Macaca mulatta: one gene and its partners. The protein of the gene in region 3 interacts with the protein of the main gene of each other region in a biochemical or structural test. Links are inferred from orthologs where the notes say so. Each region holds a gene or a part of one and is shown on either strand. Other genes may lie near its edges.

What was found.
Region 1: the proteins of KBTBD8 (region 3) and TCOF1 form a complex in vitro, tested with the Homo sapiens proteins (2 studies listed by BioGRID, with this or other methods). The link is inferred for Macaca mulatta from reciprocal best matches to the Homo sapiens genes KBTBD8 and TCOF1.
Region 2: the proteins of KBTBD8 (region 3) and NOLC1 form a complex in vitro, tested with the Homo sapiens proteins (2 studies listed by BioGRID). The link is inferred for Macaca mulatta from reciprocal best matches to the Homo sapiens genes KBTBD8 and NOLC1.

The regions. Positions count from the first base shown.
Region 1 is NC_133411.1:159,323,936-159,330,032, forward strand, and holds the start of TCOF1 (treacle protein), read left to right. Parts: upstream 1-2,197; 5' UTR 2,198-2,364; coding exon 2,365-2,472; intron 2,473-5,844; coding exon 5,845-5,900; intron 5,901-6,097.
Region 2 is NC_133414.1:114,258,937-114,264,965, forward strand, and holds the start of NOLC1 (nucleolar and coiled-body phosphoprotein 1), read left to right. Parts: upstream 1-2,129; 5' UTR 2,130-2,151; coding exon 2,152-2,271; exon of another isoform or gene 2,272-2,306; coding exon of another isoform or gene 2,307-2,348; intron 2,349-6,029. UniProt on the Homo sapiens protein: Nucleolar protein that acts as a regulator of RNA polymerase I by connecting RNA polymerase I with enzymes responsible for ribosomal processing and modification.
Region 3 is NC_133407.1:130,548,521-130,553,901, forward strand, and holds part of KBTBD8 (kelch repeat and BTB domain-containing protein 8), read left to right. Parts: intron 1-2,679; coding exon 2,680-3,794; intron 3,795-5,381. UniProt on the Homo sapiens protein: Substrate-specific adapter of a BCR (BTB-CUL3-RBX1) E3 ubiquitin ligase complex that acts as a regulator of neural crest specification.

The DNA.
Region 1 (6,097 bases), on a different chromosome or scaffold from region 3:
CTTCCCCTCACATTCCAACACACCTCTGTGACAACTTTAGTTCCTGATTAACTCTGGGAACCTTCCACTGCTCTCCAACTCCACTGCCACCAGCACCCCCCCACCCTGCCCCCCCACCCCCTCCCCTACCACTTCACCCCCTCCCCCGCCCCCGACACACATACTGTCTTCTCCCTGGATGCCTGCCTGCACTCCTAACCCTGGCTTGTCTTCCCACATCTACTCATACCCACCAGACACACTCCACTCTCCACTGGGCAGGCACACAGGTCACAGTAAAATTCAGATTTCATCCTGTACCTCTTGGGCTTACACCGTCAGTGGCTTCCAATGGCTCTTAGGATGGAGAAAAAAAACCTGATGTGCCCAGTCCTTCACATGGAGTCTGCCCTCTGCCCACCTTCTACACTCCCCAGTTCCCCTGCTCTCCCTCTGGGCCATGCTACAAAGGCCTTTTCTTGTCTATTCTCTCAGCTGTACCTTCTGCCCTAGGCCCTTTGCACAGGTTCTTCCCTCTGCTCAGGTTTCTTCTCCCCGACTCTCCCTTACACATAGTTCTGGTTTCCTCATAACCATCAATTTCTCAGGGAATCCTTCCCTAACTCCCAAGAAAAAAATAGATCCTTCCTTCCTGTTATATGCTTTCACAATAATAGCACACACGCACACACAGAGTGCTATTGTTCAGAGCTCCTCCAAGCATTTCTGCTGAGAATTCATTTACTCCTTATGACAACCCAATGAGGTAGAAATTATAATTATCTCCATTGTACAGATAAAGAAACTGAGTCACAGCGAAGTTATGTAACTTGCCCAAAGTCACCTAATGAGGCAAAGCCAGAATTTGAACCCAGGCAGTGTGACTCCAGTGCAGCTTTTAAACACTATATTATTACATAAGAAAACACTATCTTTTTCCTTCCGGCACCTACCCGCTGTTTGTAACACTGTATTGTATGACTATTAGTCTCCTCCATTAGACTGTAAGCTCTATAGGAGTAGAGACTATTCCATCCCCGATGGTAGGTGCTCAATAAATATTTGCTCAAGAAAATCGGAAATGTTGAATGTGTACAGACACATAACATTTTCCATTCAAGTTCAAGACAAACATAAGCACATACCTGGACCTCCTAGGGTTAGGGACTCCTGCACTGGTAAGAAACATGCTGCCATCAGATTCTCAATGGGTCCACGAAGTTAAGAACAACTGACTCTAACATTCTCCAGCCTACCTCACCTTTTCCCTGCCAACCTTCCCTTAACAACTACAACAGCCTCACATTTAGTATTAATAGTATGTGCTTTGGTTTTAGCAATCTTTTAAAAACACAAAACAAGGTCAACCTCCTTTGAAAAGCCAGTCAGAGACTATCTAATGCCCTCAGAGCAAAGTCCAGACTCCGTTCGGGGTGGTGGTGTGGCAGACCTTGTCTACTTCTTCATCCTCATGGGCCCTCATTTGTTCCCTCTTCCCCACCCCACCCCACCCCACCTCGACAGCCCAGCAGCGCAGACTGGGAGTTCTGGGTTTAGGGTTCCCAGGCAATAGCAGGGTGTTTTCTCATGCCTAGACTCAAGCAGTACCCTCTGCCAGTCCTCTCCTTTGCACCCAGCAATTTCAGGTGTCTTTATGCCTCAGCTTAGATATCTCTCTGGGGTTTGGTGCCCCTCCTTGGGGCGCCCATAGGCCGCATCTGTCGCTGACAATGCACACCAGATATTGAACTATAGTTGCTTGGTTACGGACAGTAGTCTCTGTGAGCTTTGAGGGCAACCGCCATGTATTATGCATCTTCTGAATCCCCCTAGCCTAGCCCGGTGCTAGCCCAAGTTACAGTGCTTACTACAGATTCGTTTAATTAGCGAATGAATGAATGAATAACCTGACAACTCGTGTCTGGTTCATGGGCACCAAAAACCGTGTGAAATGGATAAACGAGCAGATAATGGCAGTACGAAGTTCGGATCTAGAGAAAGATCCAGATTAGGGAGTTCAGAGACGAGTAAAACGCAGACCCAGCCATCAGAGAATTAACAAGGAAGACAAATCTCTTCAAGGAGCCAGCCGGAAAGATTAAAAGAGTCATCCATGTCACGGCCGGGCCCGGGGGCGGGTCCCTGTCTAGCCCCGCCTGCTCAGCGCCAATGGGCGGTCTTGTTGCCCACGAGTCTCCGCCCCTTTCGCTTTGAGGGGCGGGGCCGGCCACTCCTGGAGAGGAGACTACGTTTCCCGGCGCGCCGCGCGGCCGGAGCCAAAGAGGAGCCGGAAGTGGGGCGCGCGAGGTCTTAGGGCGCGAGGGAAGTGGCAGGCGGGGACTAAGGCGGGGCGTGCAGGTAGCCGGCTGTCCGGGGGTCGCGGGCATGGCCGAGGCCAGGAAGCGGCGGGAGCTACTTCCCCTGATCTACCACCATCTGCTGCGGGCTGGCTATGTGCGTGCGGCGCGGGAAGTGAAGGAGCAGAGCGGCCAGGTAAACGTTCGTGGGCCGTGTGCGAGGGCCGCGTGCAAGATGTGGAGATCAGAGGCCCGCGCCCCGTCCCCAGGCGACCCGGCGGGCGCCTGGAGCCGGGTCCCGCAGTGCTCGACTGCGCGGGCCAGGGGTTCCAGAGGAGCCGCAATCTCTGCCTCCCCACTGCGACTTCAGTTCCCCTGGGCCTCACTTTCCTCATCTGTGCAGTGGGTTGGGCCAGAAAGTGTGCTCGCAGGGGCCGAACTTTGTAATTCCCGCGTCCCTTACCTCCACCCCCTTCCTGGTAGCGGGTGTTTTAAGTTTCCTAAGTCTCTCGCCACGTGGCTAGGCGCAGCGCGGCCCCCCCGGGACGAGGAGGTTTCTGCGAGTCTCGGGAGTGGATTGCAACCAGCCCCTCGGGGGAGCGCCTGGAGAAGGGACCCCACAGCCCCTTAGTTGAGCTGGAACTGAGGCCTTTAGCGATTGCCTGTACTGAGACGAACAGCTTTGGGAGTCGAACTCGTGGTACAGTCATTTCTTACTTGGTTGATTAATCCGGTACTCGGGGCGCTTCCTGGTGTTCGAATGGTGTCTGGTTCATGGGCACCAAAAACCATGTGAAATGGATAAACGAGCAGTACGAAGTGATGGTGAGCACCGTCTCCCGGCTCTCCTGGAGCTTACACTCTAGTAAGGTAGACAAATCAAAGAATCACAAAAGCAACTATATACTTAGCACTACAATAAGTGTTAAGAATGAGAGGGATGGGCCGGGCACGGTAGCTCACGCCTGTAATCCCAGCACTTAGGGAGGCTGAGGTGGGTGGATTACTTGAGGTCAGGAGTTCGAGACCAGCCTGGCCAACATGGTGAAACCCCGTCTCTACTAAAAATACAAAAATTAGCCGAGCGTGGTGGTGCACGCCTGTAATCCTGGCTACTCATGTGACTGAGGCACTAGAATTGCTTGAACCCCGGAGGCAGAGGTTGCAATGAGCCAAGACTCTGCCACTGCACTCCCGCCTGGGTGATAAAGCCAGACTCCATCTCAAAAAAAAAAAAAAGAAGAGACGGATGGCAGATTGCCCTGGTCAGGAATAGCTGAGGTGTAAATTGTAAATGCCTTCTGGTGGGAGGGAACTTGTGTACACACTGGCCTCAAGAAAGTCCACTCTCTGGAGCCCAGGAGTTTGAGGATACAGTATGAGCCATGATCATGCCACCGTACTCCATCCTGGGCAACAGAGCAAGACACTGTCTCAAAAAAAAATTTTTTTAAGTCCATAGCAGGCCAGATGACATAGCTCACTCCTGTAATCTCAGCACTTTGGGAGGCCGAGGCAGGCGGATCACTTGAGGCCAGGAGTTCAAAACCAGCCTGACCAATGTGGTGAAACCCTGTCTCTACTAAAAATGCAAAAATTAGCCAGACATGGTGGCGTTCACCTGTAGTCCCAGTTACTCGGGAGGCTGAGGCAGGAGAATCACTTGAACCCAGGAGGCAGAGGTTGCAGTGAGCTGAGGTTGAGCCACTGCACTTCATCCTGGGCAACAAAGCGAGACTCCATCTGAAAAGAAAAAAAAAATGTGTCCATAGCAGCTGAAGTGTGGAGTACAACGGCCAGATGCCCCTGGGGAGATGGAGGCAGGGGCTGACTGGAGTGGTCTGGTGGGCAGTTTGATCTTCCTTGGAAAAGCAGTGGTAAACCAATGGAGAGTTTTGAGCTGGTGAGAGGGTATCCTGAGTAGTCAGATCCCTTTGCCCTATGGTGTAGGCTCTGTTCCTAATGCTTACTCTCAGAACCTCCTGGAGGGACTAAAGGGTGATGGGCCCTAAGACGTTATCTATGCTTTTCCCACTCTCTCTGAACTTCACTTGCTCTTCCTACTGCAGTTATAGTACTTCACAGATAAGGGGAGCAAGAGCTAGTACCCATCTTCATTGGAGCAGAAATATCCTGCCCTTGTGGAGCACACATTCTAGTAGGAGCAGACAGGTAACAAATAGAAAAAGTTTAATAAGTTAGTGATATAGTGTATCCAGTGATGGTTGCTGCTTACTGTAAAATAAGGCAGGCAAGGGGGATAAGGGATGTCTGAGTTCAGTTATAAGTAGGGCAGTCAGGGAAGTCTCATTGAGAAGGTGTCATTTGGGCAGAGACCTGAAGGAAATGAGGGAGTGAGCTATGTAGTTAACAGGAGAGAGAACATTCCAGACAACAAGAATAGCAAGGCCCTGTTAGAGGCAGGGTGGCCTGACACATTTGAGGACAGCAAGGAGGACACTTTGCCTGAGGTGGAGCAGAGGGAAACTGACTTTGAAGTCTTAGTGTTACCGGCTCACTGCTGGGCACTGACAGATGGTCTTGTTCAAACCAGATAAGAAGAAACCTGAAGTTTGAAGAGGTGACGAGATTAGTTCAGTCCACCCATGCCCCACATTGCTTAGCCTCATTGGAGTACTTGATATCCTGGCTTCTTGACATTTACAGAGACAGTGGTGGGCCCTCTGGCCTCTGCTCCAAAGGCCTGGATTCCACCTGGTTCTGTCTGCTTCCACCAAGGTACCGGTACCATTTGGGCCCAGTCTTTTCCTTGCAGAGTAGTGGACTGTGGTCATGCCACCTGGATGCCTCAGGTGTCTGGGCTGTGGTTCGAGCTTTTGGAAGATTGGCTGGCCAGGTCTTTGAAAGCTTTTTTAAAAGTTAAAGTTGGGAAAAAACCTGTCTCATAGCCTCTAGGCATGGATAGTGCCAGAGAGACTGGGAGCTGGATAGATGCTAGCTTGGAACATTCCAACTCTGGCCTTTCAAAGGGGCCTCTCACCATGTTGTCTTAAAAGGTTTTAGCTGGGATTAGTTGTCCATCTTGTCTCTGGAAGGTTTTGGACAGAAATGGCAGGGCCAAACAGACATACTTTCCTGAGCATGTCAGGTTCAGAGAGAATGGGAAAAGCATAGATAACGTCTTAGGGCCCATCACCCTTTTTTTAAAGAAAGGGTCTTGCTCTGTTGCCCAGGCTGAAGTACAGTGGCGCGAGCATGGCTCACCACGGCCTCGATATCCTGGGCTCAAGTGATCCTCCCACCTCAGCCTTCTGAGTAGGTGGGACCACCAGTGCATGCCACCATTCTCAGCTAATTTTAAAATTTTTTTGTAGAGACAGTCTCACTATGTTGCCCAGACTGGTCTTGAATTCCTGGGCTCAAGTGATCTTCCTGCCTCAGCCTCCCAAAGTGCTGAGATTACAGGTATGAGCCACCGTGCCTAGCCAAAAAGACCCTCTTCTGAACCACCTGTCTGTGCAAGTCATGAGTTTGGGGAGAGTTGGGCCCAAGGAGGATCCTTACTATGCTGGGGGTTAATTGTGGCTTTCTCTTTACCTCTCTGCAGAAGTGTTTCCTGGCTCAACCCGTAACCCTTCTGGACATCTATACACACTGGCAACAGTAAGTGGTGGGGCCAACAGGGTGGAGTAGGGACACCCCAAGCAACTCAGCTTGGAATAAGCTGGGATACCTGTCTGGTCTGAGATCTGTCCCCGTAGCCCACTCTGGGCACCACTGTTGCCTCCAGAAAGCTAGCTCACATCACATGGATGGGTATTTCTGTGTGGATATCTGGTAGTGGGAGGGCACACTGAGAG
Region 2 (6,029 bases), on a different chromosome or scaffold from region 3:
GCGCGGTGGCTCACGCCTGTAATCCCAGCACTTTGGGAGGCCGAGGCGGGCGGATCACAAGGTCAGGAGATCGAGACCACAGTGAAACCCCGTCTCTACTAAAAATACAAAAAAATTAGCCAGGCATGGTGACAGGTGCCTGTAGTCCCAGCTACTCAGGAGGCTGAGGCAGGAGAATGGCGGGAACCCGGGAGGCGGAGCTTGCAGTGAGCCGAGATCGCGCCACTGCACTCCAGCCTGGGCAACAGCGTGAGACTCCATCTCAAAAAAAAAAAAAAAAAAAAAAAAAAAATTGGCCAGGTGTGGTGGCGGTTGCCTGTAGTCCTAGCTACTTGGGAGGCTGAGGCAAGAGAATGGCATGAACCCAGGAGGCGGAGCTTGCAGTGAGCCCAGATTGTGCCGCTGCACTCCAGCCTGGGTGACAGAGCGAGAGTCTGTCTCAAAAAAAAAGAAATAATAATAATGTATGCATGTGGGTAGAATAGGAAGCATGGGGAAGAGGGAACTGTGGAGGTTGTTTTTTTTTTTTTTTTGCCTTTTTTTTTGTTTCTGGAATGGAGTCTTGTTCTGTCTCCCAGGCTGGAGTGCAGTGGCACAATTTTGGCTCACTGCAACCTCTACCTTGTGGGTTCAAATGATTCTCCTGCCTCAGCTTCCTGAGTAGCTGGGACTACAGGCACCTGTCACCATGCCTGGCTAATTTTTTTGTATTTTTAGTAGAGAAAGGGTTTCACCGTGTTGGCCAGAGCTGTTCTTGAACTCCTGACCTCAGGTGATCCACCCACCTTGGCCTCCCAAAGTGCTGAGATTACAGGCGTGAACCACCATGCCTGGCTTTGTTTTTGATTTTTGAGATAGGATCTCACTCTGTGGCCCAGGCTGGGTTGCAGTGGCAGGATCATAGCTCATTGCAGCTTTGACCTCCCTGGCTCAGTCGATCCTCCCGCCCCAGCCTCCCAAGTAGCTGGGACACAGGTGCGTGCCACTACACCTGGCTAATCTTTAAAATTTGTAGAGAGAGGGGGGTTTCACTATGTTGTCCAGGCTGACCTCTAACTCCTGGGCTTAAGGGATCCTCCCATCTTGGCCTTCCAAAGTGTTGAGATAACAGGTGTGAGCCACTGTGCCTGGCCAGTTTTATACAGGAGAGGGGAGTGTCTGGAGAAAGGCAAAGGAGAGGTGTGTTCCATGAGAATCCTTATCCTTCTTGAGCGGCATTAGTGGGAGGTAGCCAAGGGGTAGTGGGTAGGATCGAAGCGATTGCTAACTGCTAATATGATCTGAAATGTGGCAGAACTTGGAATTAACTTGGTAGATGTGAGCATTGATATTGGAGTTACTCATGACAAAGGGAGCAACTCTGACCCTGGAGAAAGAAGGGCTATTCAGGTTTAGTGCAAGACATCTTTCCTCTTCATGGAGCTGACCTAAGGCGGAATATAAGGGGAATGGGAGGGGCGGCTTGGAAATCAACACCTGCCACCCTCACGACTGATAACTTGAAGGATCCTCTGGACGACTGATAACTTGAAGGATCCTCTGAACAACACCTCCCACCCTCACGACGGATAACTTGAAGGAGCCTCTGCAGCAGAGGCAGGAGTCTGGAGGCTGGGATAGTATCAGAAAGGGCCTCCCTGGGTGTTGGAGGCAATGAAGATGAAGGGCGAGAATCCATTGGCCGCGCCAGTGCGCCAGTGGGGGCGGTTGGGAGATCTTGTAGACCAAGTCTAGAACGGGACTGTTCGAGCCCGCTTGTCCACTCATTACTCTGGAATCCGAATCCCAGCAGGGGCGCGGGAAACCGCTGCTCTGAGAAAAGGTACCTCCCCCAGAAAGACAGCGCGGGAAGTCCCGAGTTTCCCGCCACGCCGAGGGCGTGACCCTTGACGTCAGAGCTCCACCTCCACAAACTGGCGGCCAGTGGGCTCCGCCCTTAACCAAGATGGCGATACACGTGGGACCGGAAAGAGTTTATAGATTTCCCGTCTACCCTACCTCTGAGGTGGAGGTGGGACTGTCCTGTGGAGCCCCGCCCTTTCCGCTATGCGCCCGCGCGGCGCAATGACGTACACGGGCCCGCCCACTGCCCCTGTTGGGTTCCTGAGTCGTGCTGCGTCGACAACGGTAGTGACGCGTATTGCCCGGAGGATGGCGGACGCCGGCTTGCGCCGCGTGGTTCCTAGCGACCTGTATCCCCTCGTGCTCGGCTTCCTCCGCGATAACCAACTCTCGGAGGTGGCCAATAAGTTCGCCAAAGCGACAGGAGCTGTGAGTTCCGGGCTTGGCGTGGGGACCGGGCTGAGATGACCACAAAGCTTCAGGCCCTGACGTGCTTAGGTTTCCAGGTGGGGAAGTCTGTGGGGTCCGCCAGTTCAGTGTCTGCAAGGCCTTTACGCCGACCCCTGGGCAGTGGTCAGAGAAAGCCTGCGGCCTCGGTCGCTCCTCTTCCCGCAGTTCTGACTAGATATCGCTGAGTCTTGTTGTTTTTTTTCTTGTGGAGCCGTGCAGTGGCGGCAGCGTGGGAGCCTCGTGGCCCGAAGTCACATGGCTGGCAGAGTGCAGCGGGGAGCTAGAGCCTTGTCCCACTGAGGACGTTGGTTCTTCGGCATCTGTTTCTTCTGGGGTGCTTTTCGTTGGATGAGGCAAACCGCGATTTGACCTTACCCTCAGTTACATTTACTGGGCTTCAAAAGCAAGTGAAATTGCTTTAGAATGAAGGCCGGGATTGTCGTTAGTAAAGAAGAAAATGAATGAAAGTAGAAGCAGAGTTTTGTTTTGAGTTACACTAATGAGAATTGAGCATCATAAACAGCCCTACCAAGCAGGCATAGTAGTGGGCTTGGAGCTTTGGCTAATGCAATCAAACAAACCTAGGTTTGGGACCAGGCTCTGTCACTTTTTAGATACGTGACCCGGGCAGTTTATTTAACCTCTCTGAGTCTTTCTACAGGGATGTCATCATCCACTTTATAGGATTTTTGTGAATTTCAGTAAGATGATGTGTAAGAGTAGCAATCTCAGTGCTGGTGCAGAGGAATCTTGTAGAAGTTAAAGCTGTACCATAATGATGGCAATTTAGGATGCTCCAAACACATGTGAGAGTAAGAGAACCAGGAATGGGAAAGGTTTGTAATCTTTCACATCAACAGACATCCCTGCATGGGAAGAGACCTTGAGGGAGGAGAGAGAGGAGGTCTTCTGCAGGGATGATAGCATGACTAGAAAGGATGGCTTGCACTTTTTTTTTTTTTTTTTTTTGAGACGAGTCTCGCTCGCTCTGCCGCCTGGAGTGCAGTGGCCGGATCTCAGCTCACTGCAAGCTCCGCCTCCCGGGTTCACGCCATTCTCCTGCCTCAGCCTCCCGAGTAGCTGGGACTACAGGTGCCGCCACCTCGCCCGGCTAGTTTTTTGTATTTTTTAAAGTAGAGACGGGGTTTCACCGTGTCAGCCAAGATGGTCTCGATCTCCTGACCTCGTGATCCGCCCGTCTCGGCCTCCCAAAGTGCTGGGATTACAGGCTGGAGCCACCGCGCCCGGCCGGCTTGCACTTTTAGCAGAATCAGGCTGCAAAAGCAAAAGAATCAGATCAGCTTCAGAACTTCCTTAAGCTGGGACATGCTGCCATGTGATCTAACTGCTTTCTTAATGAAACTGTTTAGAGTTGACTGTTAAGGAGACTGCAGAGAGGACTTTCACAGTGGACTGAATGGAATTGGACATTTCAGAATTAGGATTCTTTTTTTTTGTTTTTTTTTTGAGACGGAGTCTCTTGCCCAGTCTGGAGTGCAGTTGCCCAGGCTGGAGTGCAATGGTGCGATCTCGGCTCATTGTAACCTCCGCCTCCTAAATTCAAGAGATTCTCCTGCCTCAGCCTCCCGAGTAGCTGGGATTATAGGCGCGCACTGCCACGCCCGGCTAATTTTTTTATTTTTACTAGAGACAGGGTTTCACCATGTTGACCAGGCTGGTCTTGAACTCTTGACCTCAAGAAATTCGCCCGCCTCGGCCTCCCAAAGTGCTGGGATTACAGGCGTGAGACACCGTGCCTGGCCTCAGAATTAGGATTCTGAAATGGTTTTATGTGAGAAAAGCTAATCTTTGTGAAGAGTTTACTAAGGGTCAGGAGCTAAGCCCTTTACATGCATTTAATTTTTTTTTTTTTTTTTTTTTTTTTTTTGAGGCGGAGTCTGGCTCTGTCGCCATGCTGGAGTGCAGTGGCATGATCTCAGCTCGCTGCAACCTCTGCTGAAGTGATTCTCCTGCCTCAGCTTCCCAAGTAGCTGGGCCTACAGGTGTGCCCCACCAAGCCCAGCTAATTTTTTTTTTTTTTTTTGTATTTTTAATAGAGACGGGGTTTCACCATGTTGGCCAGGCTGCTTTTGAACTCCTGACCTCAAGAAATCCACCACCTGGGCCTCCCAAAGTGCTGGGATTATAGGTGTGAGCCACTGCACACGGCCAACATGCATTATGTCTTATCCTCTCAATAACTTAATGAGATGTGTAGTATTATCTCCATTTTATAGAGAATAAAATAATCTCAGGGAGACTAAGTAATTTGTCCAAAGGTGAGTTCCCATGTGTCCTGACTCTGGTCCTTTACTCTTTTTTGTACCCCAGAGTCTCACTCTGTTGCCCAGGTGGCAGTGCAGTGGTGCAATCTCAGCTCACCCCAACCTTCGCCTCTCAGGTTCAAGTGATTCTTATGCCTCAGCCTCCTGGATAGCTGGGATTACAGGCGCCCACCACCACGCCCAGCTAATGTTTGTATCATTAGTAGAGATGGGGTTTCACCATACTGGCCAGGCTGGTCTCAAATTCCTGATCAGGTGATCTGCCCATCTTGGCCTCCCAAAGTGTTGGGATTACAGGCGTGAGCCACTGCGCCTGGCCTGATCCTATACTCTTATGTGTATTGTTTTGTGTGTGTGTGTTTCTTTTAGAGGGTCTCACTCTGTTGCCCAGGCTGGAGTACAGTGATGCAGTGATAGCTCACTGTAGCCTTGAACCCCTGGGCTCAGGCAATCCTCCTGCCTCAGTCACTGGAGTAGCTAGGACTACAGACATGTGCCACCACAGCTGGCTAATTTTTTTTTTTTTTTTTTTTTTTTTTTGAGACAGAGTTTCGCTCTTGTTGCCCAGGCTGGAGTGCAATGGTGCAATCTCAACTCACCATAACCTCCACCTCCCAGGTTCAAGCGATTCTCCTGCATTGGCCTCCCAAGTAGCTGGGATTATTACAAGCATGTGCCACCACGCTTGGCTAATTTTGTATTTTTAGTAGAGACGGGGTTTCTCCATGTTGGTTAGGCTGGTCTCCAACTCCCGATCTCAGGTGATCCACCCGCCTCAGCCTCACAAAGTGTTGAGATTACAGGCGTTTAGCCACCACAGGCCGAGCCATGGCAGTGCCATTGCACTCCAGCTTGGGCGACCAAGAGCGAAACTCAGTCTCAAAAAAAAAAAAAGAGAGAGAGATGGAGGTCTCACTGTTTTGCCCAGTGGTCTTGAACTCCTGTCTTTAAGTGATCTTCCTGCCTCGGCCTGCCAAAGTATTAGATTACAGGTGTGAACCACTGCGCCCAGCCTAAATGCAGTTCTTTTTTTTTTTTTTTTTTTGAGACTTGCTGTGTCGCCCAGGCTGGAGTACAATGCTGTGATTTCAGCTCACTGCAACCTCAGCCTCATGGGTTAAAGCGATTCTCCTGCCTCAGCCTCCTGAGTAGCTGGGATTACAGGTGTGCGCCACCACGCCCAGCTAATTTTTTTTGTTTTTGGTAGAGACAGGGTTTTACCATGTTGGTCAGGCTGGTCTTGAACTCCTGACCTCATGATCTGCCTACCTCAGCCTCCCAAAGTGCTGAGATTACAGGCCTGAGCCACCGTGCTTGGCCCCTAAATGCAGTTCTTTACACTCAATACAATACTCATCAGTCTTGTTTCTTTTTTTCTTTCTTTCTTTCTTTCTTTCTTTTTTTTTTTTGAGACAAGGTCTTGGTCTGTCACCCAAGCTGGAGTGCAGTGGC
Region 3 (5,381 bases):
TTGTTGTGCCATTTTACTTATGAAGAAGCTGAGGCTCCGTGAGATTACGTTTTAATAACCTGCCTAAATCATCTATCCAACAAGTAAATGGCAGAGGCTACATTTGATTCCAGAGCCAGGCTTCTTGGTCGCCATATGACTCTTAAGGAACAAGAGTGGGTACACTAGGTCCTTTTTAAAGTTTCCTTTAAAACATTTTTATTGTATATTGCATTTGAATAGTAAAAAAAAGCCAACAAAACAAAACAAAAAATACAAAGTAAAAATGTCTGTATCTTACTGAAATTTAATAATCTGGATTCTATCATTTAAATGTCATACTTATGTATGCTTACTAAGTGTTATACTTAATGTATGTATGACATTAAAATGATAGAATACTTATTAAGTATAATACTTAGTAAGCATACATAAGTATGACATATGTATACATACTAAGTATACTTATTAAGCACTGTACTTAATAAGTATACTTAGTAAGTTTACATAAGTATGACATTTTCACTTTGAAGTTTCATTTTTCATTTTTGAAGACCTAGAAAAAAATTTTACTTTAAAAGAGGTATGCTATGATAGATTCCTGATTTTCTTGATTCCTTAACATCTTAAATTCTTTAATTTTATTAAGTTAATTTTAAAAAAGAGTAAAAAATACTTGAGAAATTTTCTGCGGTACGATATGTGCATTGAAATAAAGATATTTGGCTGGAAAACTCATGGATTATAATTTGATCTCTTGCTAGAGGTTTTTGTACCGAAGTTTCTTGGTACCAGCGCTGCTTCCTGTGTGGGATGTAGAAAGTCATACTTAATGTTTCTATGTCTTGCATCACTAGTGGAAGAATTAGAATAGCTGGAAATCTGGAATGGCTGTTTCATGATACCAGTAACTCATCAAAACTGAAATTTGTATGATCATTAGAAATTTTTTGCTACTCTGGATTTTGTGTAAGGAAGTGCCCTGGCTTCATTTATGTTGAGTTTACATGAAGAACTTACTCTAGAGGAGAGGAAAACTCATGAAGTGTCAGACCACTCCTGTGTGTAAGACGAGCCTATTCAAGTCAACAGTAGTTCCCATGATAAAGGGATATGTGGTATATCCTCCTTTGGGAGTTCATCTCTCCCTAACACAGGGCTTTATTTTTCTTTTTAATTGGTAGCTGTATAGGTGAGTCTTGCAGCACCTGAATTGAAAACCAGCACATACATAGGAACATCTAGTTTTTAGTCATCAAAAAAGCCTGTGTCATACTAAATTAAAAGGTACATTGTAGAAGTAAAACCAGGACTCGAAGATGATTAACCTGGGCAGCAAGTTGAATCCTTGTACCTCCAGTGTTTCTCATACTGCATTTTAAAATAAATTCCGTGAATTTGAGACATATTTTTTAAGTGACTGGAAATCTTTGCAATTCATTTTTTATAACATCACAAAAATTAAATACGATGGGTCTGGATCATCTAGAATGAAACTTTAAAGGAGGGAAAATAAAGGCAAATGATGTTTGCAAGTGACTAATACTTAAAGAGCCAGGCTGTGTAATGTTTCAGTCAAGAAAATCCCATAAATGCAATAATATTTTAATAATAGAAAAAACCAACTTGGTCTCAAAGGTAAAAGTTTGGGGTTTTAAAAACCATTATCTTCAAATAATCGGTTAACTATTAAACTCTGTTTAAAAGAGGCATTATATATTGACTCTACCATAATCTTTATTTATGTCTAGATTTAGATAGGTAAAATACGGTATCTTTGAGAAAATGAAGTATTTCCTTTTAAGCAAATGTTCTCAAAATTTCCAAGGGTAAGTGAAGTGGTTATTATATTACTTATAATGGTTAAGGAAGCATTCAAAAGATAACAGTTTTAAAAAAGAGTAGGTGGAGAATATGTACTTTTAAAGAACTTCTTGCTTTTTTAAGAGGAACATTTTAAAGATATATTTTGGATACAAGTTGCCTTGTAATTTTCACCAGGACACGAAAAGTTTTATTAGGTTGTTTCTTTGTATACTAATGTATCATGATGATACCTTTATAGGTTTTTTTTTTTTTTTGAGATGGAGTCTCATTCTGTCTTCCAGGCTGGCACTCAGCTCACCGCAACCTCCGCCTGCCTCCTGAGTAGCTGGGATTACAGTGTGTGCCACCACGCCCGGCTAATTTTTTAGTTTAGTAGAGATGGGGTTTCATCACCTTGGCCGGGCAGGTTTTGAACTCCTGACCTCTTGTGATCCACCCACCTGGGCCCCCTGAAGTACTGGGATTACAGGCGTGAGCCACCATACCGGGCCAGTATTCTTAAGCTTTCTGACTGGCATGGCACAATTTAAGATCTGATGTCCCTAAGGCAACTCTGGATAGGGGCTTCTAGGAAAATAAAGTGACCTGGAATATGTGTGTCACCTTTTGATTTGCATTTACTTAGGTGACTCTCCTTTTTTCATAGTTGGCACAAAGCGGGCTAGCCCTGAGAGTACGGGTTTTGAGGTTAGCCAGACTAAATCTTTCTGATACATTATCAATTTTTACTCCTATTCAGAATATCAGGGACTATTTTAGGAAATATTCAGTTTCAAAAGGTTATCTTTGTGGTAACTTTGTACTTTTAAAATCTTGCCACAATAATTTTGATTTATAGCACACATGTAATATTAACCACTCTTTCCTTCTTAGATCCATGTTCACTAGCGGCCTTACAGAAAGTACTCAAAAAGAAGTTCGAATAGTCGGTGTTGAAGCTGAATCGATGGATTTAGTGTTGAACTATGCCTATACCTCCAGAGTTATTCTCACAGAGGCCAATGTTCAAGCCTTGTTCACTGCAGCTAGCATCTTCCAGATTCCTTCCATCCAAGACCAATGTGCTCAGTATATGATCAGTCATTTGGACCCACAGAATTCTATTGGGGTCTTTATCTTTGCTGATCATTATGGTCATCAGGAACTCGGAGATCGATCAAAAGAATACATCCGTAAAAAGTTTCTGTGTGTCACCAAAGAACAAGAGTTTCTCCAGTTGACAAAAGACCAGCTGATAAGTATATTAGACAGTGATGATTTAAATGTAGACCGAGAAGAGCATGTTTATGAAAGCATTATAAGGTGGTTTGAACATGAACAAAATGAACGAGAAGTGCACCTTCCAGAAATTTTTGCTAAATGCATACGTTTTCCTCTGATGGAAGATACCTTCATAGAGAAAATTCCACCTCAGTTTGCACAGGCTGTAGCCAAAAGCTGTGTAGAAAAGGGACCATCCAACACCAATGGTTGTACACAGAGGCTTGGAATGACTGCTTCTGAAATGATCATATGTTTTGATGCTGCCCACAAACACTCAGGAAAGAAGCAAACAGTGCCTTGTCTAGATATAGTCACAGGAAAGGTGTTTAAACTATGCAAACCACCAAATGACCTGAGAGAAGTTGGGATTCTTGTATCACCAGATAATGACATTTACATTGCAGGAGGGTACAGGCCAAGCAGCAGTGAGGTCTCCATCGACCATAAGGCAGAAAATGATTTCTGGATGTATGATCATTCCACCAATAGATGGCTATCCAAACCATCCTTGCTTCGAGCTAGAATAGGCTGCAAACTTGTCTACTGCTGTGGTAAAATGTATGCAATCGGAGGTCGTGTTTATGAAGGTGATGGGAGAAACTCACTAAAATCTGTTGAGTGCTACGACAGTAGAGAGAATTGCTGGACGACTGTTTGCGCAATGCCAGTTGCAATGGAATTTCATAATGCTGTGGAGTACAAAGAGAAGATCTATGTTTTACAGGGTAGGTGCCTGAGTGATTCAGTTTTTCATGGAAGGGTAACACATCAAGCGGTGGTTTACTTAATTATACTGAAACAGTTGTGTTCCTGTTAATTGAGGAATACCTCCAGCTTCCTTATCAAACTATTGGAACAGTCTGTTCTGTAAAGAGCTATAAAGAAAATAAACTCTTGAATTTAAAAAAGGCAGGTATTGTTAAGTTACTAAAATAATCCTATACTTTTTAATGATTTTGTGTCTTGATATCATGTAGAATAACTATTTTTGAAAACATTCTTTAATAAATAGTAGTTCGGCAGTTTGGGATAACTATTTCAGAGTACTTTGTAGGACTTGAAATAAATAGCAAGGTTGTTACATGGCTGTTTTTGCTCTTGAGTTACATTGAGATGTAGCAACTGGTGTTGATGGAATTTACTGGATTAGTTTGAAAGAGAAAAAGGAACAAAGCATTAATTAAGTTATACTATTTAGTTACCAAAGAGTTTTATATAAGCCTTATTATTGCAAAAGTTATGAAACTTAATTACAAAGAGTTTGGAAGTATAGTCTTTAAGTTTCACCTTCACTGCTGTTTATGTTGCCTTTCATAATACATTTTCAATTGTTTTCACCGGAAAACTTTGAGATGTCACTTTTTTTTGGTTTGCCATTTTAAGTGGGACTGTCTGATATATGTAGTGTTTTTTGTTTGTTTGTTTGTTTTTTTAACTGTTAAGGACTACTTTGACAAAAATACAGTAGAGGTAGAGTGACTGAGTCAGAGTAAATAAGACATTTGATTCAAGGCTCTGATTTGTGATAACTAGTATTTTCCTTTTATTTGGTTTCTTACATATTTTAGTTGCTTGAATGTTTAATGCAGTGTAGATAATAGCAACATCCTTATTCTTCATATGTGTCCTTCAATTGATGTTTTTCTCACACTACTACTTAAGGAAAAGGAGCAGCTTCTATGAGGATATACAGTCATGTGCCATGTAATGTTTTGGTCTGTGATGGATCACATACACAATGGTGGTCCTATAAGATTATGATAGCATAATTTTACTGTACTTGTTCCATGTTTAGATACGTTTAGATACAAAAAATGCTTCCCATTGTGTTATAGTTGCCTAGAGTACTCAGTACAGTCACATGCTGTACAGTTTTGTAGCCTAGGAGCAATAGGCTACAGTGTAGCCTAGGTGTGTGGTAAGCTCCCATCTAGGTTTGTGTAAGTATGCTCTATGAAGTTCTTTGCACAAGGACAAGTATCACTTAACCATGCATTTCTCAGAATATGTCCCTGTCATTAATTGATGCATGACTGCCCTTATCCCATTGTTTTCTTTCTTTCTTCTTTCCCCTTCCCCTTCCCTTCTTTTCTTTCATTTCTTTCTTTCTGTTTTGTTTTGAGACAGGGTCTCACTCTGACACCCAGGCTGGTGTGCAGTGGCATGATCTTGGCTGACTGCAACTTCCGCCTCCTGGGTTCACATGATTCTCCCACCTCAGTCTCAGGCACCCGCCACCATGCCTGGCTAATTTTTGAGTTTTTGGTAGAGACGGGGTTTCACTATGTTGACCAGGCTGGTCTTGAACTCCT